Linked DNA regions of Rhinolophus ferrumequinum. The protein of the gene in region 1 interacts with the protein of each later gene in a biochemical or structural test. Links are inferred from orthologs where the notes say so. Each region holds a gene or a part of one and is shown in the gene's direction. Other genes may lie near its edges.

Region 1 (7,107 bases):
GGTGGCCGCCGGCGAGGGTGGGGGTGGGGGGCGGGGACCTGCACCGCAAAGGCGCTGTGTCAGTGGTCATGTCTTGGGGGGGAAGCGGCATGTGATTGCGCCTGGTTTTCTTCCTACGCTGTATGTTCCTCAAAGGGGCGATTTGCCTCTCCCAGTGTGTATTCCTACCTCCCAGCAGAAAGCTTAGTTTTACTTGCGCAGGCCCACTTCATCCTCACAGCAGCCCTGTTCGGTGGACATGAAGAAACATCAGGCGAGACAAATCAACTGCCCGAGGTCACAGAAGTAGCAGAAGGTTGAGGTGGCATTGGATCCAGAGTCTGGACTCCAGACCACTGGGACCCCAGGCCTTCAATGAAATCTTGGTGCATAAATGAAGGGTCTCCTGTCTTTCTCAGTAGCCAGCACCTAGCACCCAGCACCCAGGGGTTGACGTTGGTGAGAACCACCATGCCACTATAGCCACCTTTACTGTGGACTTACTAGTGCCAGGTACTGTATCCAGCATTTACATATACTACATGAGTTTTGTATTGCTGCTAAAACAAATGACCACAAACCTAGTGCCTTAAAGATAACGCACATTTAGGGGCTGCTGGATGGCTCAGTTGGTTAGGGTGCACGCTCTTAACAACAAGGTTGCGGGTTCGATTCCCTCATGGGATGGTGAGCTGCGCCCCCCGCAACTAGACTGAAGGACAACAACCTGGAGCTGATGGGCCCTGGAAAAAACACACTGTTACCCAATAAAAAAAATAAAAAACAAAAAATGATAACACACATTTATTTTCTTATAGTCCTGGAGATCAGAAGTCTGAAATATGTCTCATTGGGCTAAATCCTGTCAGCAGGCAGGCCTGTGTTCCTTCTGGAGGCTCTAGGGAAGAATCCATTTCTTTGCCTTTTTCCAGCTTCTAGAGGCCAACTACATTCCTAGCGTGTGGCCCTTTCTTCCATCCTCAAAACCATCTTCAAAAATGCCAGCAGTGTAGTATCTTCTCTCTTCTCTGACTTGTTTTCATCCTTCCATTTTCTCTCTCTTACCCTGACCCTCCTGTTTCTCTCCTATAAGGACTCCTGTGATTACATTAGGTCCTCCTGGATAATCCAGGATAGTCTCCCCAATTCCAGACCCTTAATTTAATCACACGTGCAAAGCCCCTTTTGCCATGTTAAGTAACACATTGACAGGTTCTGGGGATTAAGACACAGACATATTTGGGGTGCTATTATGCAGCCTGCCACATATACCATCTCATTTAATCCTTAGGTGGCAATACCGTGACATACGTGGTATAATTAACTCCATTTAATAGAAGTGGAAAGTGCATGGCATACAGTAGACACTCAATAAATGTTTGTGGGGCATGATCTGGTGTGAATGCTGAATTGATAATATCCCTCCCCTATGCATTCAGTCTTGTTTCTTCTCTAAAGTCTCCCATATCCTGTCCACTGGGGGAAGGTAGCAACTGTCAGAGAACTTAGCACTTAGTTGTTTCCTTTTGGGTGACTGTTTCCTCAGTGAGATCACATTACAAGGACAAACTCTCACACTCATTCTGAATTCTTTTTCCACACTGCCTTGGGCTTTCGCAGACATCATTTTCTCCTTTTGAGTGCCTACAAGGAGGGAGCATATGTCCATTTTGCAGAAGAGCAAAGTGAGGCTCAGCTTAGATGCAGTCAGTTCTTGATAGGGGCTGGTTGATGACTCTTGTCTAGCCCCAAACCCTTGACCTCATGCCACCCAGCATGAGGAACTCCACACCCTTGGCAGCCCCCAACCCTTTGACTCAGCTCTGCACTTGGCTGGATTTTGTTCTCTCTCACTGCCACTAAGTCTTTGGATATTCTTCCTGTGGTATGTATGTGTATACACACACACACACACACACACACACACACACTGCCCCAGACTCCAGAATCTTCCCAGGATTGGCATCTTTACATGCCCTTCCCCTATCTTCGTCTGCAAAATGCTCAACTTTACCATATGCATGCACAGCCACCAGACTTACATATCCCTCACAGCACAGCTCCCTGTAACTTGAGAGGTGACAACTCATTAATCTAATTTTCCTTTTAGTAGAAACATTTTGCAATCTCCCTGGTAGCGATGAAGAGCTTCAGGTCTGAAATCAGACTGCCTGGGTTGAAATCTAGGCTTCACCACTTGTCAATTGTGTGACCCCAAGAAAGTAAACTAATTCCTCTGAGCTCAGTTTCCTCATCTGAAAAATGAGGAAAAATAACAGTATTTTTCTCACTCCATACCTGGCAGATGCTGATTTTTTTGTTTAAAGATTTTATTGGGGAAGGGGAACAGGACTTTATTGGGGAACAGTGTGTATTTCCAGGCCTTTTTTCCAAGTCAAGTTGTTGTCCTTTCAATCTTAGTTGTGGAGGGTGCCGTTCAGCTTCAAGTTGTTGTCCTTTCAGTCTTAGTTGTAGAGGGCGCAGCTCAGCTCCAGGTCCAGTTGCCGTTTTCTAGTTGCAGGGGAACAGCCCACCATCCCTTGCGGAAGTTGAACCGGCAACCTTGTGGTTGAGAGGACGTATTCCAAGGAACTGAGACATCCGGGAACTCAGCGGCAGCTCAGCTCAAGGTGCTGTGTTCAATTTTAGTTGCAGACAGCGCTGCCCACCATCCCTTGCTGGACTCGAGGAGTTGAACTAGCAACCTTGTGGTTGAGAGCCCACTGGCCCATGTGGGAATCGAACCGGCAGCCTTTGGAGTTAGGAGCATGGAGCTCTAACCGCCTGAGCCACCGGGCCAGCCCCTGATTTTTTTGTTTTAAGGCAAGATTTGCTTAGAGGTCCTAGCTTCTGCCCGTTGTTGTCCCTTCCTCCACTTCTGTCATGGCCAATCTCTCTTCCTGAACAACGCTGCTCCCTCATTCTGCCGCTTGTTAACACAAGTTATCTGGAAGGGGTGGTGACATCGGTCATGCATACTTTCAGGGGATTTAATCTCTGTCTCTTCCCAGGGCCATTGTTTTTTTTTTTTGGAGCCTCATTTGTAATCACAGATGGGAGGTCCAGACCATCTACTGATGGGAATTAGATCATGGATGAGCAGATGAAGAAGGCCTGGGGGAGGGCACTCCTCACACCTCTAGGGCCCCACCAAATAGATAACTATCTTACAGTCATCCTTGCTTTTCCCGTCATATGTTGGCTTGGTGATGGAGAGGAGGTGTTGGCACCTGGAGGAGATTTGATAGAAGGCATTCCTGGATGACTTCATCTCTGGGCCTTGCCTCTCAAAATTCCAGCCAAATCAGCTCTACCCTTTAAGGGATGAAAGTCGGGTCAGCATTCCAGAAAGTCCTTGTCATATCCAGGCTTTTAATCAGGTGACATTGGAGAATTAGCATCCTAGTGCAGGGGTTGTGGGAGGGTGGGGTGGGGTCTTGCCCCTGCCCCACACTTGTCTTTCTGGCTAGACCTGTGTTGAAGGGAGCAAGACCTTTTGCGTTGAGTTTGCTCAGGGAGATCAGAACCACGGACAGCGGTCAGGGCACAGGGGAGACCCACCGCCTGGCAGGGTGCAAAGAGCCAGGAGTGCGGAGTTTACAGGCTGGTGAGAGAATTTGCGAAGGGAGGGAAGACGCACTGCGGTGGTGGGAGCTGGCTGAGGCTGTTCTCACTCTGCGTCACCCCACCCGCCCCGCACTTGCATCGGGCCTCCATCAGCTGGAGTTTTTCTGTCCCTCTTCAGGAATGGTTGGGGGTGGGGAGGAAAAAGAAAGCGCTGCTCTAAGGCCTATGGGATTTTTGCAGGAGACGAGGGACGCGTTGGCGTTTCCCGCGCGCTCCCGCCTCCTGCCAGGCCCATTTCTACACAAGGCCTGCTCTTCCCAGGCTCTATCCCAAGGAGTACAGGTCGCAGGCGCTGAAGGGTGCATTCCCCCGCCCTGACCTCAGCCGGAGCGAATACGGGCGATAAATCTAGATAACCCTGGAGGGCAGGGCCAGCCAGGATCCCGGGCCCAGGATAAAAGGCTGTGGGCACCCAAGGATCCAGAAGAGCACCCGTGGGCTGCGGGGAGGTGAGCCGTGAACCCAGACGCAGCAGCAGCAACCTCCGCCGCTCCAGCCACATGGACCCCCAGATGGCGCTACCCCGGGCGCTCCTGCTTCTCCTGCTCTTGCACCTCTCACCGCTAGGAGGTCTTTCCCACCCTGTGGGTGGTCCAGGCCCTACCATGGAACTGTCCACAGTACAGGTGAGCACTGCTAGACTGCATAAACCCCTCGGGCCTGGAGGGCGAGGCAGCAGCAGTGAACGGGTCTCCGCCGACTGTCACAAGCGGTCTTCACCCTCCCTCGGGAATCAGAAAGTGGTGAGACGGGGAGCCAGGCAGTTGGTTCACTAGGGAGCCATCAAGGGTGGTTGGGCTCAGGTTTGGGCTCCCAAACTCAGGCATCCCCACCCACCGCAAAAACTACTGGACAATCTGCAGGACGAGGTTTCAGAGCAGCAGGAGGAGCAGATGGCCCCAAAGCTCCACCAGCAGGACAGTGGTTCTGTAGAAGACTGGGAGGCCAAACAGGCAAATTCCACTGGCAGCCTTGGGTCCAGTGACTTCCAGACCCAGCAGAGACAACAAGGCAGCAAGACGATGCCTGCCTCCAGCTGCTTTGGGCGGAAGATGGATCGCATCAACACCGCCAGTCGCCTGGGCTGCAATGGTGAGCTCCCTCCCTGCCACCTTGGCCACACCCACCCTCATTCCTGGGGGTTCCACCATGAGAGTGCCTTCTGGGTTTGTTGTCTCTGGGGACCACACTCTGAGAAAGGGACACCTGGACATTACCCCCTCTTGCTGACCGTTCTCAGGGCCAAGGAGTGCCTTTCTGGAAATATTCAATGTTACCACGCCCACGAGAGCCGCCCACATTCAATCCTCCTCCTGTACCTGTTGTCAAAAGGTCCAAATTGCTTTAAGGTGCCATCCAGCATGCCTGGCAGCTCTTCCTGGAAGCAGAAAGTGCCCTAGACATTTTCCTTCTTCTTCTTTTTTTTTTTTTTTAAGATTTTATTGGGTAAGGGGGACAGGACTTTATTGGGGAACAGTGTGTACTTCCAGGACTTTTTCCAGTCAAGTTGTTGTGCTTTCAATCTTAGTTGTGGAGGGCGCAGCTCAGCTCCAGGTCGAGTTGCCGCTGTTAGTTGCAGGGGCTGCAGCCCACCATCCCTCGGATGGGAGTCGAACCGGCAACCTTGTGGTTGAGAGGATGCGCTCCAACCAACTGAGCCATCCGGCCACCCAGGAGCTGAGCGGCAGCTCATTGACTTCATTCTAGTTGCGGAGGGCGCAGCTCGCTGGCCCATGTGGGAATCGAACTGGCAGCCCGGTTGCCCAGAGCTCACACTCTAACCAACTGAGCCACCCATCTGCCCCCACATTTTCCTTCTGGTTTCCCATTAACTGTCTATGGCTGCAAAAGCAGAGGGCAGGATCATCAGGGTGGCCATAATCCTATTGACAGATGAGGAAACTGAGGCACTGAGAGATGAATTATTGCAAATTTTCAAATATCTAGATCAGCCGAGGTTCGGGGGCTGGGGCAGGGGTGGCACACAGTGAGGGGAAGCTCAGAGCCTGCCTCTCTCTCCCTCTCTTACACCATCATCACCCTCTCTCTCCCCCCCCACAGTGTTGGAGGGTTAAGAGGAAATCCTGGCGGCAGACATTTGCACTTGATTCGTCATCAACTCTGGTCTCCTTTGAAGCAACTCCTACTTACTGCTTTTTTTTTTTTATATTTATTTGATTGTTTTATGTAATCCAGTTTTCACCTTTGAGCACAAATTTTCCGTGGTGAGATAAAGTCAACATTAAAGCTTTTTCTTTTGAAATAGTTTTGTCTTAGTGCAGTCAATATAATGCATCATTTCAAAAAAGAAACCCCAAACCCTGTGTTTTTTTGGAGGTCCCAAAAGTGTCTTAACGACGGGGTAGGGACATGGTCTCAAGGGCTGGTCAAACAAGGGTGGAGTGGGGAGGGGGCTTTCTTTTTTTTTTTTAATGGGTTTTTCATGTTCTGAAATGTCTAGAAATACCTCAGGCATTTAAGACACTTCCCAGAAACTGCTTTTCAAAGCCCGGCAGTTTCTCCCTGAGAGAGGAATGGTCCCTGATGTATCTGTGCAACGTGAGTGTGTGTGTCAGTGTTTGCCCGACTCCTCTTTCCTCTGCCTGCAATTCCATTAGAATTCCACTCTTCCTGGTGTTGTTTCCAGAAGGTCTAAGCTAAAATCTCAGAGACTGGGGGCAGTGTGTGTGTGCGCACGCGTGAGTGTACACACACACACACACACACACACATACGCGCGCGCACATACACCACTTGCTCATTTGCATTCCTGAAGGGGGGCGGGGAGTGAGCCCCTTATCCTGCCCCAAACCTCAGCTTCAAGCCTTCAATCCCTGATGTCATCCTGAAAGGAGCTTTCAAACCCTGAGTTTGATGGTATCATCATTTCCCAAGCCCATAAGATTAGAAGTGTCTGGCGAGAAGCCCAGCGGTTCAGGGCGCCCCTTCCCTGGGGCCATGCAGCATCACTTCCTCCCGCCCTGAGAGAGAAGGCCCTCATTCTAAGGTAGAAAAGGAGACAGGAACCAGAATCCTACTGTGTTGCTGTAATCAGCAGGGAGTCCTGGTAGGGATCCTGCCCTGTCCTCTGTGGGCCCCTCACCCTGCATCCTTCTGATCAACTACTGAGCCTGTCCCTGCTTTTCAGGGTCCCAGGCCTCTGCTCCCTTCATCATGTCTTTTATGGTCCAACTCAGCTAAAGGAGACAGGATTATTCTTATCCCCGTTTTATGGATGTGAGAACCGAGACCCAGAAAAAAATGAAGCATCCTACCTGAGACCATGCGGCCACTCAATGCCATCACTGGGATTTGAGTGCAGATCCGAGAGACTCTGAAGCCTGTGCCGGCTCCCTGAGCTCCTAGCGTTGAACTGCACTCTCACAGCCTTTCTGCTCTTCTCAGCAATGTTTCTTTGAGGGAGGGAGGGGGGAACCCGAAGCTGTTGGTCTTTGTGCTGTTTCTCATTTGAACCCAGTGTCCATGAGAGGTTATGGGTAC
Region 2 (7,164 bases), on another chromosome or scaffold:
GAAAAGGGGGCAGTATATTGACTGAATCAGAGCGGGGAAAACACTGATGGTGAGGGACTAGAAGCAAAACTGAGGCAGCTTTGGAAACAGGTCTCAGAAAAAGAGCAGGGAAGTAGTAAGGACAGAAGGGCCAGACCCATCCCCGTTGCCCAGTTTCCCCCATCTCTCTTCTTCCCTCTCTACAAACTGACGGATTTCACCCTTTTAGGAGGTTTTAACAGCCACATATACGTATATACTGTATTTGCATTTAAATCAATCATATTACTATGTGCGTTGTCCCTCCTGTAATCTTTCTCTTCCCTACTTGCCTCCTTCTTTTGCACTATTACCTCCCAGTCTCTGTTAATTGAAAGTTACACACTCTTTTTCTACTCTTTTAGTTGGTTACCCTAAAAATTACAACGTGCATCCTTAATTTAGCAAAGTCTAATTTTATGTAATACTTTTACCGTCTTCGTGAGAAATGCAGGAATAATTTAATTCTATTTACCACCATTACTCCCTCCAGAATTATATACTATCGCTGTTGTGTAATTCTTTTAAGTACTTTATTGATGTATAATTTACTACAACAAAATGCACAGATCTTAAGCCTACAGCTCGAGAAACTTTGAGTGATGTAGCCCGTCCATGTAACCACCACCAGATCAACATAAAGAAATTTTTATCCCTTCAGAAAGTTGGTTCATACCCCTTTGCCCCGCCCACAGAGACAATCACTGTTCCGATTTCTATTATCATAGATGAGTTTTGTCTGTTCTGGACCTTCATTTAAATAGACTCAGAGTGTTTGTACTCTTTTCTGCCTCGCTTCTTTTGCTTGACACGTTTCAAGATTCTTCCAGGGTTTTGCATTTATCAGCAATTAATTTTTTTGTTTATGAGTAGCATAAATACACCATAGTTTGTTTGTCCTTTCTCCTCTTGATGAATTCAGGACCTCCAACTGGCTGAGACACAGGCAAACACATTTGGGTTGTTTCCAGTTTGAGGCCATTATGAATAAAGCTGCTATGAACATTTGTGTACAAGATTCTTGTGGTCAGATGCATTCCACATCTTGGTAGGTGTAAGATATATGTGCACAGAATTTAAATTATATATTTTCAATCTCACAAGGCATTAACGCTTATTAGTTAAATTTGTGGTCCTTTAGATTTACCGTTGTTAACGTTCTTGATTCTTTCCTGCAACTCCAACCATTCACCATTCATCTGGACTGATCCTTCTGCTGGAGAATAAGTACCCCTCTGCTGGTAGCTAATTTTCTTGGTTGTGGTTTGTCTGAACGTCTTTGTGTCACCTTTGTTTTTGAAGGACATTTTTTCTCTGGGTATCGGTTTCTAGATGGGACTAATTTTCTTTCAGCACATTTACAATATTCTTTTACTGTCTATGGCTTCCATTTTTACTGTGAAAAAAACGTTGTCAATCTAATGGCTGCACCTTTGAGGGTACTCAATACGTTTTACTATTTTAAAGGCTTTATTTTTTATTTAATTTCCCGCACTTTCACTCCGATGGATCTAAATAGGGAATTGTTTTTCATCTTATTTGAGGTTTGTTGAACTTGAATCTGTGGCTTGATGTAGTTCACTCACTTTTTAAGTTTCTCAGCCATTATCTGTTTACATATGACTTCTATCCTATTATTTCCCTCTGTCCTGGGCTCCAAATAAAGGTGTTTCAGACTTTCTCATGCTATCCTCTATGCCTCTAACTCTCTCGTATGTTTTTCATGCCTTTTTATCCACGCTTCATTCTGGGTAATTTCTTCTGTCCTTCCTTCTGATTCATTACTTGATCCTCAGTGGAGTCTAACTTGCTGTGAAACCCATCAATTGGTTCTGAATTTTGGTTTTTGAATATTTTGGAGCTGGATTTTCTACCTACTCTTAGGTTTTCCCTAGGAATGCAGCCTTCCAGGAACCTAACCCCAAATAGTACAGTGGTTTACCAGGGTTCTCACCCTTAGGGACATTTGGACTCCAACTTTTGTCTCACTTGCCCCACACAGCCTTTTTTCCGCCACCGATGCGGACCAGCAAATGACCCCAGGGTAAAAGCAGTCCCACTGCTGGTCTCACCTCTCTATTTTCCTGTCCTTTTCTGCTCTCACACCAATAATTCCTCACTGTTTTACTAGTGCTTTGATTTTTAAAAGATTTCATCCAACATTTTAGTTGTCTTCAGCTCAGGGATTAGACACATTATTTGGTCCACTATTGCTGATGGAGGAGCTCAATTACTAAATTAGATTTCTAGTCCAGTCTTTTCTTCTGAGCTCCAGCTCCACTAATTCAAGGACCTATTGGACACCTCCACCTGGGTATCTACAGGCACCTCAAACCCCATAAACTGAAATTATTATAATCTCCCCAAAACCTGCTTCTTCAGCTTTTCAACGAATGGGTCGATGTCACCTAGACTTCAGTTATTTGTATACTGTCTTCTCTTCCTGAAGTCCAGTTGATCTAGTTACAAAACATCTCCCTATAGTCAATAATACAGTCTTATGCGTTTAGACATTTAAGAGGGTAGACCTCATGTTAAGTGTTCTTCACACGCACGCACACACACACACACACACACACACACACAAAGACACAAGGAAACTTTTGGAAGTGGTGGGTATGTTTATTACCTAGACACTGTGGTGATGGTTTCATGGGTGTGTAAATATGTCCAAACTCCTCAAATTGTATATACATTAAATATGTACAGTTTATTGTGTTATTATATCTCAATAAAACTGTTTTCTTTAAAAAAAAAAATATATATATATATATATATCCCAATCTCCTACTCCTATCTACGTCTATGGAATCTGGAGCCCCACTAACAGAAAGAACAAAGACATCTCCTCCCAGGTAATTCCAACATCTTACATCCTACATCAGGGTTGTAAACATAAACTGCAGCCAGTAATGACAATGAGTAAACAGGGTGGCTAAGAACCGTGAGAAACTAAACATCTCAAGGAGGTAAGGGGTACTTGGTTCCAGCTGACGATTCAGGGAGAGATGCAGGACCTACCTTACCAGCTCTGCAATATTCCAAGACAAGCCAGAACTCCAAATATTCATGTACCATATGCTGGCTTTTAAGCGTGGGCAACTAAATTAAATATGAATATATATGTATATATATGTATGTATATATGTATATGTGTGTGTGTGTGTGTATATATATATATGAGAATGCAAGACAAACAACACATGCCCGCCATCTGAAGTTGGTCCATGGGCTACCGTTTGCTCTAGACCATAATTATATTCAAAATTCTCCTAATATTCCATATATAGAAAACGTACTTCAGTATTCTGCTCTCTCTACACAAAATACCTTTCTCATTTTTCTACCCTTGTTTAATTATTTCTCTTTAGAGGTTTTCCTGGCTCCGATGCAGGCAAAATAATGCTCACCTGGGCCTCTATGCAATGTATCCCATCTCTCTGTTTTGGTGCTTAACGATATTACATTATGGCTATTTATCCCAAATAGAGCTCCTCAAAGGTACGACTACATATATTTCTCTCTTTTGCCCTCAGCATCTAGCTGGTGCTTAACCCGTACGAGGTCCCCTGGAACTGTTTGCAAAACCAAGGAAGTTTGGGGACCTTGGGTCCTGCCCAGGCGCAGGTTTGGAGAGGTTGGCGGCAAAATACTGTCAATGACGCCTGTTGACCGTTAGAGGGCAGACGGATTCCACAGCGGTCCCGCCCTGCGGCCCAGCGGTCAAGTGCCCCCAAAACTTCTCCCCAAATTACGCCTCTCCTGGTCATTTTCAACACCATCTCCCACCGCCACCACGAACCCCATTTTAACAATCCTTCTCAACACAAAACACGCACACAGTCACATTGCCGGAGCGGCCCTGAGGTCACACCTCTTCCCCCCTCCAGCCACCTTCAAGCTCTCCCTCCCTTGCCCACAACCATTTGGGAACTAAAGAGTTAACTTCATCCTTCCACCGGGTCCTTTTTCTCCGCGGATGCGCTCCCTGGGGCAGGCGGGGTGGGGTGGGGCGATCCTAGATGGACTGGATCCCTGGGTCCCAGGGCTCCCCTACTTGAACGTCTTTTCCAGAAACCCGTCACCCTCCTGTCCCACCCCCATGCACACACCTCCACACACTCACACCTTGTCCTGCCGAGAGATCCCAAACCAACAGTCTTTCTCTCTTCCCCCGACGGAACCAGGTGAGAAAGGACAAGATGTGGGCGCAAGACGCCCCCGGTGGCTCCCAAACTCTTCTCTTTTCAGTCCTCCTTCCCATCCCGGCGGGGGGCCCCGGTCGGCGAGGGCCGCCTCTCTGAGGGGGGCAGACACTGGGCGGCCCAGGAGCGGGGAGAGAGTCTCAGGGGGCAGCGCGCGGGCTGTGGGCAGGGGAGAGCCCGCCACTTGGGGGCAGGAAGGAAAGAGTTAAAGATCCGGGATTGGCTCTGCTGTCACCGTTTCTGGGAGGGGAAGCGGCCGGGAGGGAGGGTTCGGAGCTTGGCTCGGGTCCTCCCCAGTTCCCCCCGGGCCGCCGGAGACTTGGGCCGGCCGGACGCCGCTTCTGGCTCACTCGCTGGGGCAGCGCTCCCGCACTCGCGACGCTCACTCCCCTTTCCCTCCCTCGCGCCCTCTCCCACCTTCTCCCCGGAGCGCGAGCGAGCGCTCTCTCCTTCTCCCTCCTAACACACGCACACGCACACGTTCTCGCTCACTCGGGTCCCCTGGGCTGCCGCGCTCCCCTCCCCGCGCCCACCTGCTCCGCAGAGCCCTCGGCGCACCCCGCCCGCGCGCGCCCAGCCGGGGTCCGCCCGCCCTCCCTCCCGCTGGCCGCTGGCGCTCCGGGCCGTGACCGTCGCAGCTGGAGTGGACAGCGGGTTCCCGGGTGGGCGCCCCCGCCCCGCTCCGCCCCCCTCCCACCGGGGCGCGCCCTGAGCCCGAGCGCACGGCGGAGGCCATGGTGGGAGCGCCTGCCTGCCCCGGCGCCCGCTGAGGCCATGCCGCACCCCGGGGAGCCCACCGGCGCCCGCCGGCGCCTGCCGCTGCTTCTGCCGCCGCTGCTGTTACTGCTCCCGGGCAGCCACGCGGGCAACCTGACGGTGGCCGTGCTGCTGCCGCTGGTCAACACTTCGTATCCGTGGTCGTGGGCGCGCGTGGGCCCGGCCGTGGAACTGGCCCTGGCCGGGGTGAAGGCTCGGCCCGACTTGCTGCCGGGCTGGACGGTCCGCACGGTGCTGGGCAGCAGCGAGGACGCGCGGGGCGTCTGCTCCGACACCGCCGCGCCGCTCACCGCCGTGGATCTCAAGTTTGAGCACCAGCCGGCGGTGTTCCTGGGCCCCGGCTGCGTGTACGCCGCCGCCCCGGTCGGGCGCTTCACCGCGCACTGGCGGGTGCCGCTGCTGACGGCCGGCGCCCCGGCGCAGGGCTTCGGGGCCAAGGACGAGTACGCGCTCACCACCCGCGCCGGGCCCACCTACGCCAAGCTGGGCGACTGCGTGGCGACGCTGCACCGACGGCTGGGCTGGGAGCACCGGGCGCTCGTGCTCTACGGCTACCGGCCGGGCGACGACCAGCCCTGCTTCTTCGTCGTGGAGGGGCTGTTCTTGCGCCTCCGCAGCCACCTCAACATCACGGTGGAACACATGGAGTTCGCCGAGAGCGACCTCGACCACTACGCCAAGCTGCTGCAGACCGTGCAGCGCAAGGGCCGAGGTGACAGCGCCCCCGGGGCCGCCGCTTCGCCCCAGCGCCTCCAACCCTCTCTTCTCCCGCCTGCCGCCTCCTCCTCCTCCTCGCGGCTCCTCACTCGGGTCTCAGCCTCCTCGGCCCGTTCCACCTCTGAGTGGCTGTTTCCCTCTCTTTCTCCAGTGCCCTCTTCTCGTTCCCACGCTCCTGTCTCTCTTCACCTCCCCTACTGTCCCACCTCCTGCCCACCGGTTCTTCCGGAGTTAACGGGAGCGGGGGAATGCCTGCTGCCACCCTGGCACTTAGTAGGTCCCGGCTTAGTTCCCGTCCCTTTTTTCTCGCCCACTTTCTGTCTCTTCCCAACGGCCTCCTCCCCTCCTCCATCTCTTCCTCCCCTTACTCCCACACACCCGCTTCTCCGCAGTCCCCTCTCCAGCTGGCCCTCCTCTCCCTCCTCCACCCCTCCCGACCCCACCATCCCCACCTTCGGCTCTGCTGTTCCCACTGTCCCGATCTCTGCTCCTTCTCGCCTCCCACCTCCGCCTCCCACCCATCGCCATCTTTCTCCTGCCACAGCCTGGACTGAGGCAGAAGTTCCACTGAACTACCCCAGGGTCTCAGGACGTCCCCCTGGAAGCCCCAGCTTCTCTACCGGAAGAGTCCCCCTGCCCCGGGGCCCTAGGCGGCTGTCTGACTGCCCTCTTCCTCCCCAGTTATCTACGTCTGCAGCTCCCCAGATGCCTTCAGAACCCTGATGCTCATGGCGGTGGAAGCCGGCCTGAGGGGGGGCGACTACGTTTTCTTCCACCTGGACCTCTTCGGGCAAAGCCTGCGAGGTGCACATGGCCGTGACCCCCACAGGCCTTGGGAGAGAGGGGATGGGCAGGATGTCAGAGCCCACCAGGCCTTTCAGGTGAGTGTCCAGGTGGGAAGCGAGGCTGTGGGTCTCCCGGCTGGTGGCACGTAGTGTCAGGGCAGTGGGTGCCTCAGTGTCTAAAAGGATCCCAAAAAAAGAGGTTCTTGACGCTCCAGGGAGTTGGATGACGAAGGGCAGGGGCCCGGGGACTCAGAGCCAGGAGGCGGAAAAGAGTTGGGAATGGCCTTGAGGTGGAAGGAGGTGCAAGTCCCGCAGACTGACAGGACTCGGGGCAGCCGTCCCATTGGATTTCCTGCTTTAGGGCAGGCGTCACCTCACGGGGCGGGCGTAGGGTCCAGTGTGACCTTGAGCTAAGCCGAGATGCAGCTCTGGGAGGTGGGTCCTGGGAGAACAGGTCAGCCCCCAGCTCACCCGTCCCCACTGACCCCTTCCTCAGGCTGCCAAAATCATTACGTATAAAGAGCCAGACAATCCTGAGTACGTGCACTTCCTGCAGCAGCTAAAGCATGTGGCCCGGGAGCAGTTTAACTTCACCGTGGAGGACGGCCTGGTAGGAGGGAGTTCTGGGACCCTGCAGTGGACCTCCAGCCCCTTCTCCATGG
Region 3 (7,806 bases), on another chromosome or scaffold:
CTTAGGCAAATTAGTTTTAGGGAAGAGTACATATGGGAGGGAAGGATCTGGAAAGGGATTCTCTTGAAACCACCTGTGCATACATACCCCTTGGAAAATCTTTCTGTTCTCCCCCTGTTTGAGGGGTACCACCCAGAGGTTCAGGGGCTCAGGAGGTGCTAAGGGCAGGGGGTGCCTGTTTCTGGGCCCACCATTGCTACCTCATCTGCAGCAGCTGGGCCTCTTTCTGTTTTATGCTTAAATTTTTGTTTGGAGAAAGGGTTTTACTGCTAAAAATAACAGCTTGAAAAACATAGCTTCCATGGGGAACCATTTAAGGATTTTAAGCAGGGAAGTGGCATAATTAAGTTTTCATTTCAAAAGGCCACTTTGGCATCTGAACACATTGTAGAGGGTGGATTGGAGGGAGGTGAGACTGGAGGCCCAGAGACTTGTCACTGAGGCTGTTGAAACAGTCCAAAGGAAAAAAATGTTGGAACTGGCAACTCTGGGCTCCATCCCAGAGTGGCAGCATCCACTTTAGATGGAGCAAGGGCTGCATCCAGCTGCTTCTCGCATTTACATTTTCTGCTTGGCTTTTGCCTCTGTGACCCTTGCCTTAGAGTAATCTTTGACTCTTTCTTGTTTATCCTGTAGGTTCAGTCTGCCAGCAAGTCCTGTTGTTTCTTCCTTCAAATCATCTCACATTTGTTTCTCTCTTTCCACTACTATTCCATCATCCTAGACCAGGCACTTAGCATTTCATGCTTGAATTTCTCCAGGAGTCTCTTCACTGGTCTTCACAGCCCTACATTGAATGTCAGGTTAACTGTTCTGTTGTTCATGACATACTACAGCCATGCAAAAGAGTACGGTTTTGTCAAGTCTTGCTTCAGATTTCTCCTCCTCTTCCAGTCTTTGGCTTCTCTAGAAAATTCTAAGCAGAACAGAAGATTAAAAGAGTGATAAATACACTTCAGTTCTCTAGAAGCTAATGTGATCATGCTCCCTCTGCTTTTTTTTATGTGAGATTTTTGTAAATTGAGCAGGACTTAAAACGCGAGGGAACATATGCCACTTTTTTTTTTCAGTGAAAGATTTTGTGAAGAAAGTAGAATTTTAAGTGGAGTGGAGAGGGAAATATTAACAGAGAATATTATATTGGAGACTTTATGCAATCAGATGCTCCCAAGGGGTGGTAAGTAATTACTGGTAATTATGGTGATGGGTGGAAATAGGAACAGAGGGAAGCAGTATATGTACGTGGGAAAACAGGGCAAGTATGAAAGAGCCATCGAAGCCACTGGGACCTTCCGGGACACTCACAGAAGTGCTAGTCCAGGCTTGGATGGAGCAGACAGGTGAAAATGGGTTCACCTAGGTAGAGCTTGAATCATCTTGAACATAAATTCTCCTGATAATTCTTAAATTCCTTCTTAGGGATCACTGGCTCTCTATGAAAGATTTTTCATGGAAAAAACTACTCTTCTGGACTATCTTTTCACAAAACTGGTATTTCTGCCCCTCAGAGTATGGAACCAGTTCAACTTATAGAATACTTATCTAGACAGGTAAATTAGAAGCTGAGATCTGATCTGAAAATATTTTAACTTAAAAAACTTTTTAATTCATAAAAGAAAGCGATGTGTGAATTCAAAGTAAAAACCCTTGACCCTTTAAACAATAACAGCAGCTCTTAAAGGATATTGACTATTATGAGAAGGTGAACTGGACCCAAGGTATAGAACCATACTGTGTGCTGCTGTATGGGGGGAAGTGGGCCACATGAGCAATAATGGGGGTTTGACCTGTTTTCAGGATTCTATCTCTCCCTCACTGAGGCTAAAAGAAATAATGCAGAATTTTAGTAATGTCTTTGTTTGCCTTCAATACGTTTCACTGCCTCCTCCTCTCCCTGATTGAAATGTTACAGTTGAAGTGTACCGTTTCTGCCTTATTTTATCTTACTTTCCATGCCTGTTCTCTGCCTTCTGTTGGCAGGTTCTCTTGGACCCGTGTGTCTTGTGCGCAGAAGACAATCACACATAATCAGGGCCTTGCTCTGCAAGTCAGGTTAGTCAAGCATGGAGAAGGCTGGAAGGTGTTTTGTTTCTCCAGCTTCTTACAGCCCCGAGGCATGGTCTGGTGTAGTGCACACCTGAGGGTTCAGAGTTAGGTGTGAAATGAGGTAGGTTATAAAACTGCTCAGTGCTGAACTGAAAGTCAGTTTGGGATATCAAAGCTTGCCATGGAGATTAGTGGGAGCCAGAATCCCACGGCAGTGCCAGAACTTGGCAGGGGTCTTGAAGGTCCTTTGGCCTAAGTGTGACGGGGCTCAGAATTTCTTTCCACTAAGGAACAAGGTAGTTTGGAAACCACAGCAGCTTCCAGCATCTAGCTGATCTGATGTTCTGCAGTTTAGCTCTGGATCAGAAATAAGGTGCATGGGTTGGTCCTGTTCCAGAAGAAATTATAGATCGGCTGTGTGAAGGAGGCATTACCAACCCTATGGAGAGAAAGGTGGATCCTAGCTTGGTGCTGCTCAGGCCAGCAGGATCTTTAGATTTCCCAGGCTTTGCATGAGTTGCATGGAGTCACCAAACACAGCCCAAATCTGATTGTCCACATCAGTGACAGCAGTGATCTCTTGGATAATGGGAACATGTAGATAACCAAATTTCTCATTTATCTAAAATTTTCACCACAACCCCCAAATGAAGAAACAAAACAAAAGCCTTTCACTGCCTTTGGCACATTAAGCGATTAACTTTTATTTCTCCACCCTTTCCCACTTTCTAGTATCAGTGGCCGGTTGGAAGAGAGAGAGAAGGGGAAAGATGTTTGAAATGACATACCTTGCACTTAAATTTGTTTGGGAGTCTGGGCAACAGTGCTGACTGGTCCTCACTCGGGTCTGCAGGTGTCCAGAGAAACTCCTCTGGGTCTTTGGTGGCCATTGTCCTGTAAGCATGGCTTCATATGGTGAGTTCCATGAGTCAGCAGAATAGCTATACAGAGCCCCACCTTAGAGACCAGGAAAGTCTCTGTTCTACTATTAAAAGCCAAGTAGGGTTGGGGGAGAGAGTCAGCTGAGGAAGCTATGTGACTTCCCCCTCTAGGACTCAGTTTCAATTATCTTTAAATGAGGGGATTGAACAATATCTTTATAAAACAACTCCTAGCCCTGAAATTCTGTGATTCTGGCAGAGATTGCATCATTTTGGGTTTGATTCTCTCATTAAGCTGTATGTAGTTACTTAAAAAGTATTATTTGGTTGGGTCAGTCTAAAGTTAGAGCCACGTCTTTTCTCAGGTTTCCCATCACCCTTTTGTCTATTATATCCTTCTTTTCCTTGCTCAGATAAAATGAAATTCCTTTTCACCACCAATGTTGGAAGCTGGAACTGGAGTTACCATCCCTTCGTGATCAAAAAAGGAGCTGTTTTACTTCCATTTCTTGGGGCTTGGGGCAAGATATGTTACTGGGGGATTTGCCTTTGGTCTCGGCACCCTCAGGGATTCCATCTGTACGCTCCTCAAAGTAAGGGCTACATCATTCAGCTTTTATTGTATTCACCCCTAACGCATGTGCAAGGAAGCCAGTGTTCAATAAAGAAACACCGTACCTAAGAATAAAATAGCATTGTCCTTAAAATTTTCCCCAAAACCACTAGGTGTCGCCTTCATCTCAGAGAAACTACGCCCCCTCCTCTCTCCTCGCACTCCCACCCCTCTCCTCCCTCTACTCAGGCGCTCATGTAGCTTCTTGGCACTGTGATTTCTGAAGTGGCTTGAAGGGGGGAGACGAACTGTGGCTCTCGGCAGGGGGAGGAGAATGGGTTTATGACAATTGAGAAAAACTCCCCAAGGTCCCATAGTAATCCCACCCAGCAACCATGATGTCATCCCTCACAAGCTGTTCCTCAGGATCAGATCCGCAATCCAGATATGGGGTATCTGGGGTGAGCCTTCTAGGTTAGAAGCTTGGGAGTGGGGAGGAACCCAAGGGGGATACAATGGGCTTTAATTGCTGGGAGAATGTTCTGCATAGCCGGTCCACCAGCTTTTATCAGGTGCTAGGCTGTGCTGTGTGGGGTGAGTGGGGAGACGAGAGAGAAGAGGCTGTCACAGGCTCCTGCCCTGGAGCAGATGGTGTGGTGGAAGCCCAGTGGGCTACGGTGGGCCTCTGAGGACATGGGAGGGCGCGCCGGGGGCATGGGCACAGGAAGAAGGAGATTGGAGCTTTGCGTCCTAAGGGAAAAGGAGACTTGGGCTTTGTAAGGACTCAGGAAAACTCGATCACTGACACCCCTTGGTCCTGGAGGGGCCAGTGTTCCAGCGAGCAGGCATGGTGAAGGAGAGGCTCCTGGCAATGAGAAGAGTGGTAAGGTTTACTAGGTGGAGGACTGGTGAAGATTCCAAATATTTGGGGATTCCTGACTGCTTCCTGGAGACTGGAGTATTTGAGGGACTCAGCGGAGTTAAGAGAGAGGACCCTAACAAGAGAGGCCCTGGGCTGATAGGAAAGTGAGATGGATAGAGAGCAGAGGAGTGGCCCATGGTCTTGGGGGAGGCAGGGGTAGGCCCTTAAAGCGAGAGGACGCCCAGAAACCTCGCCGGCCTGAGAGGCCCCGTGCGGCGCCCCTGAGTTGTCACCGGGTGGGTTGGAGACCTGGGAGGTCCCTAGGCGCCCGTGTGGGGGGTGGGGGGAGACTGCAGGCGCCGGAGGGTGGGGCCGGGAGAGGGAGGAGGAGGGGCTGCGGGGAGGGGGCGGGGGAGGCGCGGGGCGGGGGCAGGCGGCCTGCCCGAGGAGTCACACTCGGCGGCCGCCGCCCGCGCAGCGAGCGGAGACGGGCCCTGCCGCGGCGACCTGACCTGGACGAGCGGCGCGCGCGGGGGCCCAGGCGGGGGGCGGGAGGAAGCGCCGGGCAGCGCCGGCAGCCCGGGCCCAGGAGGAGCTGAGCAGAGGAGCTGGGACACGGGCGGGGCCGCCGCAGCTCCGGATGGGACCAGCGCCCTGGGCCCGTTAGTCCAAGCAGGAGCTTCAGGAGAAGCCTTCACAGGGAGATTTACCCGTGCCTTTCCCTACCGTCCGGCCCAGGCCTCGCTTCGCTCCCTGCCTGCCCATGGTCCCAGTCCTTCCGCGGTGCGGGCCCCCTTCCACCTTACCCCTTGGTCCTTTTCGCCGCTCTCTGCCCTCCTAGCCCCTTCAGCTGTGAGGTAGCCCCCAGGCCTTTTCTTTGTACCAGCCTCCCCCCACCCCCACCCCATCCCAGCCTCGGATCCCTTTTGCCTTCTCAGCTTTAAGTTCATCAGTCTACTTCACCTCTCACTGTCCCCATCCCAGCCGCAGGCCCCTTTGGTCCCTCCCTCCTCCTGCCACCCGGCTCTTAGTGCTCAGTCCTTACCCAAGGCAGGCAGACCCACTCCTTACCCACCCCCTGGGCCTTCCTCCCATCTCCTCCTGTCCCACCCTACCACTTTCCTATCTCAGTCTACCTAGCTTATCCTCACTTCTCTTCCTGACCGACTTCCCCAGGTTCCAGGCTGGGTGGTGCTTGTGCCTCCCAGGTAGGCCAGAGTGGCCCCAGGATCTGGGGCTGGTGGGGCTTCTGCTTTCTCCCCATGGCACTGCCATCACTCCTGCTGTTGGTGGCAGCCCTGGCAGGTGGGGTGCGTCCTCCGTTGGCGCGGAATCTGACACTGGCAGTGGTGCTGCCAGAACACAACCTGAGCTATGCCTGGGCCTGGCCACGGGTGGGTCCTGCTGTGGCACTAGCTGTGGAGGCGCTGGGCCGGGCACTGCCTGTGGACCTGCGGTTTGTCAGCTCTGAACTAGATGGCGCCTGCTCTGAGTACCTGGCACCGCTGCGCGCTGTGGACCTCAAGCTGTACCATGACCCTGACCTTCTGTTGGGCCCAGGTTGTGTGTATCCTGCTGCGTCGGTGGCCCGCTTTGCGTCTCATTGGCGCCTTCCCCTGCTGACTGCGGGTGCTGTGGCCTCTGGTTTTGCGGCTAAGAATGAGCATTACCGTACCCTGGTGCGCACTGGCCCCTCTGCTCCCAAGCTGGGTGAGTTTGTAGTGACATTACATGGGCACTTCAATTGGACCGCCCGTGCTGCCTTGCTGTATCTGGACGCTCGCACAGACGACCGGCCTCACTACTTCACCATCGAGGGCGTCTTTGAGGCCCTGCAGGGCAGCAACCTCAGTGTGCAGCACCAGGTGTATGCCCGAGAGCCAGGGGGCCCTGAGCAGGCCACCCACTTCATCCGGGCCAACGGGCGCAGTAAGTGTGGCCCCGGCTATTTTAGGGTCAGGGGAGGAGGGTCGCTGTCTCCCTGGAGGTCAGCACTGAGACGCTGTCGATGGAGCCTGGCCTTGAGGAGCTGCACGTGGTGGTTGGGATCCAGAAGTATCAGAAGCACATGTGGACAGAGCACTTATGTGAGGGCTAAGGCATTATATCAGGGGAGCTCGCGGTCGTCAGGGGCAGATGTAAACAAGGAGGAAGATAGCCTGGGGGTGAAGCTTGTGTCGGGAGAATGTAGGACTGGGGGGGCATTGAATTTGGGGAGCAGTGTGAGTGCCCTGGGGTAGTGATGTGGTTAATGGCCGCTCCAAAATGTGTGACTGTGAGCAGAGATTTCTCAGATTGGGGTACCAAGACCCTTATAGTGTGGGTCTATAATGTCCCTAAAGTAATAATGACTGTATAAATGGGCTTTGGGGTTCAGCAGCTTGGGTTGGGAAAGGCAGGTAAAGCTCACATAGAGAAATTCTGAGCATCCAGTGCCTTTGAGTGTAGGGAAAGGCAGGGCAGAGTGGGGGAGTGAGGAGGGCTGGGTGGGGAGCAGCAGGCAGGGCTCTGGGAAGAGGAGGGCTTCAGGCTGATAGCTCCCTTTCTCTGGGGTCTGGAGTCAGACTCTGACTTCTGCCAGATGGTCTGCGTGGCCCCAGGGTACTTATGACGTAGACTCCAAGAGGGAGGGCTCGGGAGCATCTGTTGGGTGGTGGGTAGGTGAGGGCCCTCTCTGCCTTGCTAAAGATGGAAATACTGATGGTGTCAGAGAGGGGGCTGTTTGGGGACCTGGATCCGTTCTCAGGATGCCCTGTGTTGTACACCTGCTCCCAGTTGTGTATATCTGCGGCCCTCTGGAGATGCTGCATGAGATCCTGCTTCAAGCCCAGAGGGAGAACCTGACCAATGGGGATTATGTCTTCTTTTACCTGGATGTCTTTGGGGAGAGTCTCCGTGCAGGCCCCACGCGCTCTACAGGCCGACCCTGGCAGGACAATCGCACCTGGGAACAGGCCCAGGCCCTCAGAGAAGCCTTTCAGGTATCATTTGAGCCAGACTTGAGGGAGGAAGGGGACTCACAAGCCCCCACAGAAACCCCAGGAACAGGGCAGGAATTGTGAGCTGCAGGAGTGAAATGAACAGAGGCTTTTCAAGCTGAGTATCATTTTTTCTTACGTCCCCACCTTTGTGACTCTTTCTCAGTGTGCCTGCCAAGGCTCCCTCCCAAGATCCCAGAACAATGACTTTCCTCAGTGCCAGCAGTAGACTATAGTGTGGGGGAGGAAAGTACACGAAAAGATCTGGCGAGGTGAGGCATGATGTGGTACAATTATATACAAGTGCACGAAGGGATATGATTATGTGTCCTGGAACAGACAGTGAGGACTAGTGTTCAGAGGACAGAGAGTCAGTGTGGCTGGGGTTAGGAAAGGCTTTTAGAAAGCAAGTGCGGCTCTATTGTGACTTTAAAGATAGATGTCATATTCCTAGTCAGAATGCAAGAGAGGGTCCCGGCAGCCTGA
Region 4 (7,268 bases), on another chromosome or scaffold:
TAATACCAAGAGCTGCCATTTGTTAATTTCCTACTGTATTCGAAGCACTTTGCGTCTATTGTTTCTGATTCTTACTCCTGCAACATCAGGATGATATCATTACCTCCATGTTAGGTGCGAGGACATTGAGGAAAGTGAGAAAACTGAAGGTCCAGTAGGTTAGGTGATCACTAACCTCCAGCCATGTTTGTGAGGCTTCTAAATGCCTGCTGTTTCCACGGGATACAACTCAGAAGACTGGATGCTAACCAAGACGTATCTCTCTGTACGTGGAAAGAAAATTGAGTGTGATTAGGAATTCTGTGGAAACTCAGATGGGAGAGGAAAATGTTGCTGAGGCTTGGCCCATTAGTAAAGGCTTAGGAACAAAGTAGGATCCAAGAGAGTAGGATCCAATGGCTGTGCATTTTGCCCTGAGGAAATTTTCTAAAACTCCACGTGCTTTCTCAAATCCTTTCTGGAATAATGCAATGTACAACTAAATAAACCAATTAAATATAGTCAGTATTGGTGTGCATGAAGTTGAGGCACATCCACTGTTTTTGTGAATGTAATAATCTACATTAAATAACTTGCCTATAACTCAGCAATATGAGAATTCTTCATGTGGCTTGCAAATCCTAGAAAACCCATGCCAGTACTCACGTTAAATCACAGACCAGCTCTGTATTTTCTGGAAGTCTTTATAATGTCATTTTGTCTCAGAAGACAAAGAAATCTCCAAAGAAATAAAGAAAGTTTGTAGTTGATGGAAACCGTAAGAGGACAGTAATACAGAAACAAATTTGACCAGAAGGAGATAAATCTGTCAGAGCTGTGGTTTCAAAAGCATTCCTCAAGGCCACATTTAACTGTAGTTGCTGATGAAATTGAATAATAAATTTCAATAGAAAAAATATATAATCACTATTATTTATAGTGCTGGCAGAAAAAAAATCGTAGATTTGTATAATAGAAGAAAAAGGGTCAATTAACAGTCTCTGCTAAGGAAAGCTATGACCTAGAGGCCAAGTTTTAATTTTTTGGCATTCATTGATTTTCCTCCCACATCTTGAATGGTTCCCTCAAAAAACATCATCTATAGGTTAAAAATAAAATCTCAACACTCAATGAGTTACAGACATATTCCTGAATTAAGTGTAATATTCTTTCATCTTTTCTGCCTCTAGGGGGAAGTGTGTTTTCAACAATTCGAATATACAGAAGGTATTTTCTTTGTGGGCTACCGCTTCACAGGGACATTATTCAGCGTGACTTCAGGGCTGGCTTAACCAAGAAGAGATTCTCTTTGAAAACTGGGAAGGGCTCTGTTTTAGAGGTTGCCTTCAGGATTCTGAGGAAGGACACACAGGCTATTAAAATTGGTGGAGAAAACTTCTCTCTGATAGCATTTCTGACACATTTCAAAGAACTGCATGTTCAGTAAGGTTCCCTATATAATGCTGTCTTTCCTGGTAGCAGGAGAATAGATACAGACACTGATTTCATTTCGCAGAGCTGAAAACACATAGTTGAATACTTTAAGGAAAACTTGCCAACTTGTTTAGCAACTTAAAAAGAACATGATTTGTGGATATTGATGAAACATTTCTAAATCCTATAAAGTCTCTTAGATTCCGTCACATCATGTTTAGGGCTAGCACTGTCCTTAGGCTTTCATTTGGCTAATTCTTTTTTTTTATTTTTTTATTTTGCAGCATTTCCTTTTAGCTTTCTTTTGTTTTCATTCAGCAATTGTGACCTGAAAGAATGCACTCAGAGAAGGTTGGCAATTCTTTTGAGTGTTAAAAAAAGTGCTCCTTGTCTCTCTTTTTTTTCCATGTCAGTGTTTTACAGAATTAAAAAGAACAATATTTAAAAATTGAGTCTAAGGGCTGAATTATTTCACTTTCCCCCCCTTCTTTCTGGGTTTATCTTCATGATTAGAATGCTGCAAAAATTCTATGATAAATTGTTAGTAATCTTATTGTGCTGCATATCCTCAAAACTTAGCTACACACAAAGAAAAATTTTGACATAAAGAATGTTATTGCTTAATGTGAAAGTTAGCTTTGTTCCCTCTTTCACATGGTGTAATGGGTGGTACATGCTTTATTTCTAATCCAACTCCACATGAAAATATTCTCAGGGGATGAAGAGGTATTTAAGTGTGCCATTTATATTCTTTGGGCCTCAGTTCTTCATCTGGAGAGTGCCAGGTGTCAGGCTGGACAACTTCTAAAGTCCTTTCCAGCCCTAAGATTGGAGAACTCCATGACATTCATAATATTTACACAAACTTTCAGCTGCTTGGGAAAAATCGAATTTGATGGAAAGTAAACAAACTGGTAACATTAAAATCCGTATACTTATATTACTGGGGGGGGGTGTTTCTATACTTTCGTGCCTATTTTCATTTGAAAAACTTTTAAAAATCCTAATTTCTGCTCTTTGGAAAAATTTAAGGGCTTTTCTGGTTCTGCTGTCCAGTTCGGGGGCTCTTCCGGTCCACAGCCTGGTTTGTTGGTACTTTTGAATGACAAGCTGGAAGTTGAGAGCTCTGATCCAAAGGCCACCGAGAGGCTGAAACTCACCCAAACGTAAACTTACTGCCCGGCGCGTGACCCTCGGCGCCGCTGGGCAGCGCCTGGGAGAGGAGAGGCGTTCACGCCCGGTGCCACTGAAACTCCAGACTCTCCGAATAAGCCCACGCTACACAGTGTGCAGGATCATATCGCCATTGGCTGGTGTTCCCCAGACACACGGCATAGCGAACGGTAATAGGAAACCCCGGTTCCTTGACGTTTCCTGGCAACCGGTTTGGAAATCCATTAAAACCCTCGGATTAAGCCGTTGTTCTCTTTCTTCCTTCCTTCTTTCTTTCTGTTTCTCTTCCTCCCTCCCTCCTTTCCTTCCCAGGAGTTCAGGGAGGATTTAATTGCTGTGTAAACCCTAAATCTCAGTATCCAGTGTGTGTGGATTACCCGATTTGTGGAATTAAACCTTGTACAGATGCTTCTTTTCCTACTGGTTAGCAGCTCTAATTAAACAAATGAAAAGTTCTCCCAAGAGTTAGAAGCTCCTACATGAAGAGTCAGGGATCATAGTGCATAACCTGAAATCTAAATGACCCAGAGGATGAAACGTTACCCGTACACTATTGGTGCCAGAAAGAGCGGTAAGGAGGGTGCTATTAAGGCGGCGAGCGCTGCTGCCTCAAGCCGCCACATCTCCGGAAACCCCAATTTGCATTTTCACGCTCACAAACGAGAGCGATTGCTCTTTCGGGCCTCGGCATTAAAACAAACAAAACAAAACAAAACAAAACAAAACACGCAGAGCCTGGAGCCGCGGCACTCTGCATACCAGTTGGCTGCAAGTTTCTGCCGAAAGAGGGCGTTAGTCTAAGACTAATAGAAATGTGTGGACACGACGCCCAGTCAAATGGAAGACCGTTTTAAAACATTTCCAATTTATTTTAATTTGCGGGACTTAAGTGCCAGAATTCTCCCGTCCGATGTAGCACGTTCACATCGCAAATGACCTGGATGTGCTACCACGTTCAGAGGGTCAAGTTCCATTCGGACCGGCTTTGCAGCGCCGCGGAATCCCGCGAGGCTCCTCTGGCCACGAACTTCCCTGCGGCCTTTTCCATCCTTGTCTCCACTGCTGTTGTGGCTGTGACCAGTGGCGGGACTGGATCTCCCAGGCAGGACCCTTTTCGGCATTGCAGGACTCAGAGCACAGCGTCTCGCGCTCCCCCAGGGAGAAGCGGTTGGATTTCCAAGCGCTCGGGTTGGAGCGGAGAGCGCGCCTGCACCCAGGGGACCCTTGGGGTAACGAAATGGGGAGAAGGTCTCTTTATTTAGTTACCTGGCTTAGCAAACAACCCCCGAGGACGCCTTGGAGATGCTTCTCAAGCTTTTTGCCACTTCCAGAAGCCAGACCATTCGCTTGTCTTTGGGAGCAACAAGTTTCGCTTTCCTGCTCGCTGTGCGGCGGCAGAGGGTCTGTGCGCGGGATCCCTGGGATCCCAGCGACGCTGCGACTCCGGCGCGAACCTGCGCTGCCCAGCGGGAGGGGGGCCTGTGCTGGGATGCGGAAGGAGGGGTGCGACTAACGCCCGGGCTAGTAGGGCGTTTCAGGTCCGCGATCAAGCCGCCTGCACTGGGTCCTTAGCCCCAGTTCCCTTACCTAGCGCCAGGGGACAGGGAAGGTCGGGTGCTCACCCGGAGTTGGCGCGTCATGAGGGAATGTGGCCGGAGTGAGAAAGAGGTGAGAGCGAGCGGGACCTACGGATTTTTGCACCGAAACGACCAGTTTCTAGGACCACTCCTTCCTCTAATGCTGCTGTTTATTTTTGCACGTTGTGTTTGTGCCTGCGCGCATTGCTTTACTTTCAAAAGCATTTCTTTTTTTAGAGCCCAGGGCTGGAGAGAGCGCTGCTTCGTGCGGGGCCAGGGAGAGGCGGGGACCCCGGAGGAGGTGCGGTGCGGTGGGGGCTCCTGCGGGTGCGGACGTGGGCGACTGTGGCTTTAAGGAAGAGGTTGAGAGTTGGAGGGGAGTGGGGGTTAGGGAAAGGGGAGTGGTGGGAAGGGAAGGGGTGCGGGGAGGAGCCCTGATGTAAGAATGTTAATGAGAGGCTCCCCCAGCCCAGCCCCCACTACTCCCCACCCCCACCTTCCCCACCCGCTGGAAATACAAGGCCGGCCTCGGCGCGCCTTGTGTGGTAACACGCTCCGCCGCTGCCACGCTATTTAAACGCTGGTTATGGATCCAGGAACCGGCGCGAATCAATGAGATCAAACGCGAAGCAGATGCACCGTCAATTACAAGCACTTGGACAAGTCTAACTTTTTTTTTCTTTTACAAATATGCTTTCAAAAGCGACCTTAGCGACGCCCAAATAGAAGCCACTCTAAGCAAAATAGTATATATGAAGGGAGGGCGAATATATATATTTATGATAAGTATATATATATATGTATAAATATATTACAGGCGTACAGGTTTACACCCGGTGAACTTTTTCTTCTTTTTCTTTCTTTTTTTTCTTTTTTTTTTTTTTAAACGAGTGACATTGCAAAGAAGGACACTTCCTCTCTATCTTTTGGCGAGTCAGTGAAGGGGGTATTCTGTTTTCTTAGAGCGCCCAAGGGGGCGCAGGGACCTCGGAGAGAAGAGTGGGGAGGAAAGAGGAAGGATGGGTGGGGGGCAGAGGGCGAGTCGGCAGCGAGGGCCGGCGCTTTCCTGCGGCACGATGCTGTCCTTGCTCACTTTCTCCGCGTTCGTCCTGCTCAGCTGGGTGTCGGTAGCCGGCAGCACGGGTGGCGGTGGCAGCGGGGGCGAGGGCCTGGGCGGCGAGCGCCGGGAGAGAGAGGCGCTGCCGCCACAGAAGATCGAGGTACTGGTGCTATTGCCCCAGGACGACTCGTACCTGTTCTCCCTGGCCCGGGTGCGGCCGGCCATCGAATACGCGCTGCGCAGCATTGAGGGCAACCGGACCGGGCAGCGTCTTCTGCTACCCGGCACTCGCTTCCAGGTGGCCTATGAAGATTCAGACTGCGGTAACCGTGCACTCTTCAGCCTGGTGGACCGCGTGGCAGCGGCGCGGGGCGCCAAGCCGGACCTCATCCTGGGGCCGGTGTGCGAGTACGCGGCGGCGCCAGTGGCCCGGCTGGCGTCGCACTGGGACCTGCCCATGCTGTCCGCCGGGGCACTGGCCGCCGGCTTCCAGCACAAGGACACGGAGTACTCGCACCTCACGCGCGTATCCCCCGCGTACGCCAAGATGGGCGAGATGATGCTCGCCTTGTTCCGCCACCACCAGTGGAGCCGCGCCACGCTGCTTTACAGCGACGACAAGCTGGAGCGGAACTGCTACTTCACCCTCGAGGGCGTCCACGAAGTCTTCCAGGAGGAGGGTTTGCACACGTCCGCCTACAGCTTCGATGAGACCAAAGACTTAGACGTGGACGACATCGTGCGCTACATCCAGGCCAGTGAGCGAGGTGAGCAACGCGCGCCCCAGGCCCCCGCGGTAGCCCAACCACTCCCCCCCGCCGGCTTTCCCTACACACCCATCCGCTCCTCTGCGGACCCCACTGTCAGCTGCGGCACTAAGGACTAGGGGAGGGCGCGCGTTCGGGAACGAGCTGTCTGGCAGCTACAACCTTTAATCAGCACCCATCGCGGTCGCGGGGTGTACGTAGAGGGTCCGGGGAAGGTGGTGGAACCTGGGGGAGGGGCGTCTGAGCCCGCAGCTCCGGCGTGCCCAGGTCCGACAGGTGCTGTCAAACTGCCTAGGTTTTTCCTTCCTCCCTTCCCCTTCGCCAGCGCCTGGCTGGTGATTAGGGGCGTACTCCCGGTGCCTTACTGCAACCAGGGTTTGAAAAACATGCAGAGGCCAAAAGAACTTGTCACCCAGTTCTTTTCGGACCTGCACCCCTTCCTGTGCTGAAGCGTCTGAAGACGCTCTAAAGCCCGCACGCCGCCACATGGCTAGCTCAGGTCTCCGGGTTTCCCCGCTGCTCCTTCCACAGACCCCAGCTTTCTTTTAAAAGCTCATTTATCGCCCTTCTCATTCCTTCCAACCCCTTATAAACGAGCTTATGTGGTTTCCACCAAAAATGCCTCTCTGTGTCTGGACTCAGGCGACACTCACTTCCCCCGGCGCGTTGGGCATCGCGGTCTCTAAAGCACCCGCAGCGAGGCTTTGCGGGCGCGCACGCTGGAGAAGTGAGCGCCGAACCTCCTTTCCCTGTGTTTCCCGCCCCCGCCCCCACCGTTTTCTTCGCGGGTCTGTGGGGGTTTGAATAAGCACCAAACTGGACGAAGAGCTCAAGACTGAGGATGGTGGCTATGGCTACAGGGAGCGGGTGGTCGCGGATACGCAGTCGCGAAAGCCCCCAATGTGGCTCATTTTACAGTAGAGTACAGCGGAAAGGCTGGCTGAGGTCCCAGCATAACGCATTTCCCTCCCTCCTGGTGTCAGGTTTGGGGTGCACAACGCTGGGGGAATCCCGCCTCTGGTCCCGCTAGGCGCGCACGCGCCTGGATTCTTAGTGGAGCAATCCCAGTAAAGCTCTCCACGACCCAACGCCGGGAGACCCAAGGGGAGAGGGGCTGAGCCAGGCGCCAGGCTAGTCCACGACTTGGTACCGCCCGGCACCTGAGACAGCGCAACCGGAGGCTGGAGGTCTCAGGAACAGGTGAGAGTGGGCCGAGGAGCCCTAGAGAATGGGGCTGCGGCCACCCCCTTCCCAATGTGGCCATCTCCGACTCATAGC

What was found.
Region 2: the proteins of NPPB (region 1) and NPR1 form a complex in vitro, tested with the Homo sapiens proteins (2 studies listed by BioGRID). The link is inferred for Rhinolophus ferrumequinum from reciprocal best matches to the Homo sapiens genes NPPB and NPR1.
Region 3: the proteins of NPPB (region 1) and NPR2 form a complex in vitro, tested with the Homo sapiens proteins (3 studies listed by BioGRID). The link is inferred for Rhinolophus ferrumequinum from reciprocal best matches to the Homo sapiens genes NPPB and NPR2.
Region 4: the proteins of NPPB (region 1) and NPR3 form a complex in vitro, tested with the Homo sapiens proteins (4 studies listed by BioGRID, with this or other methods). The link is inferred for Rhinolophus ferrumequinum from reciprocal best matches to the Homo sapiens genes NPPB and NPR3.

What each region holds. Positions count from the first base shown.
Region 1 is NC_046292.1:8,039,758-8,046,864, reverse strand, and holds the start of NPPB (natriuretic peptides B), read left to right. Parts: upstream 1-4,106; coding exon 4,107-4,232; intron 4,233-4,469; coding exon 4,470-4,698; intron 4,699-7,107.
Region 2 is NC_046305.1:52,592,344-52,599,507, forward strand, and holds the start of NPR1 (atrial natriuretic peptide receptor 1), read left to right. Parts: upstream 1-4,150; 5' UTR 4,151-4,997; coding exon 4,998-5,712; intron 5,713-6,398; coding exon 6,399-6,598; intron 6,599-6,998; coding exon 6,999-7,112; intron 7,113-7,164. UniProt on the Homo sapiens protein: Receptor for the atrial natriuretic peptide NPPA/ANP and the brain natriuretic peptide NPPB/BNP which are potent vasoactive hormones playing a key role in cardiovascular homeostasis.
Region 3 is NC_046295.1:51,958,866-51,966,671, forward strand, and holds the start of NPR2 (atrial natriuretic peptide receptor 2), read left to right. Parts: upstream 1-4,788; 5' UTR 4,789-5,604; coding exon 5,605-6,271; intron 6,272-7,117; coding exon 7,118-7,323; intron 7,324-7,806. UniProt on the Homo sapiens protein: Receptor for the C-type natriuretic peptide NPPC/CNP hormone. Has guanylate cyclase activity upon binding of its ligand. May play a role in the regulation of skeletal growth.
Region 4 is NC_046290.1:21,521,735-21,529,002, forward strand, and holds the start of NPR3 (atrial natriuretic peptide receptor 3), read left to right. Parts: upstream 1-4,267; 5' UTR 4,268-5,182; coding exon 5,183-5,990; intron 5,991-7,268. UniProt on the Homo sapiens protein: Receptor for the natriuretic peptide hormones, binding with similar affinities atrial natriuretic peptide NPPA/ANP, brain natriuretic peptide NPPB/BNP, and C-type natriuretic peptide NPPC/CNP.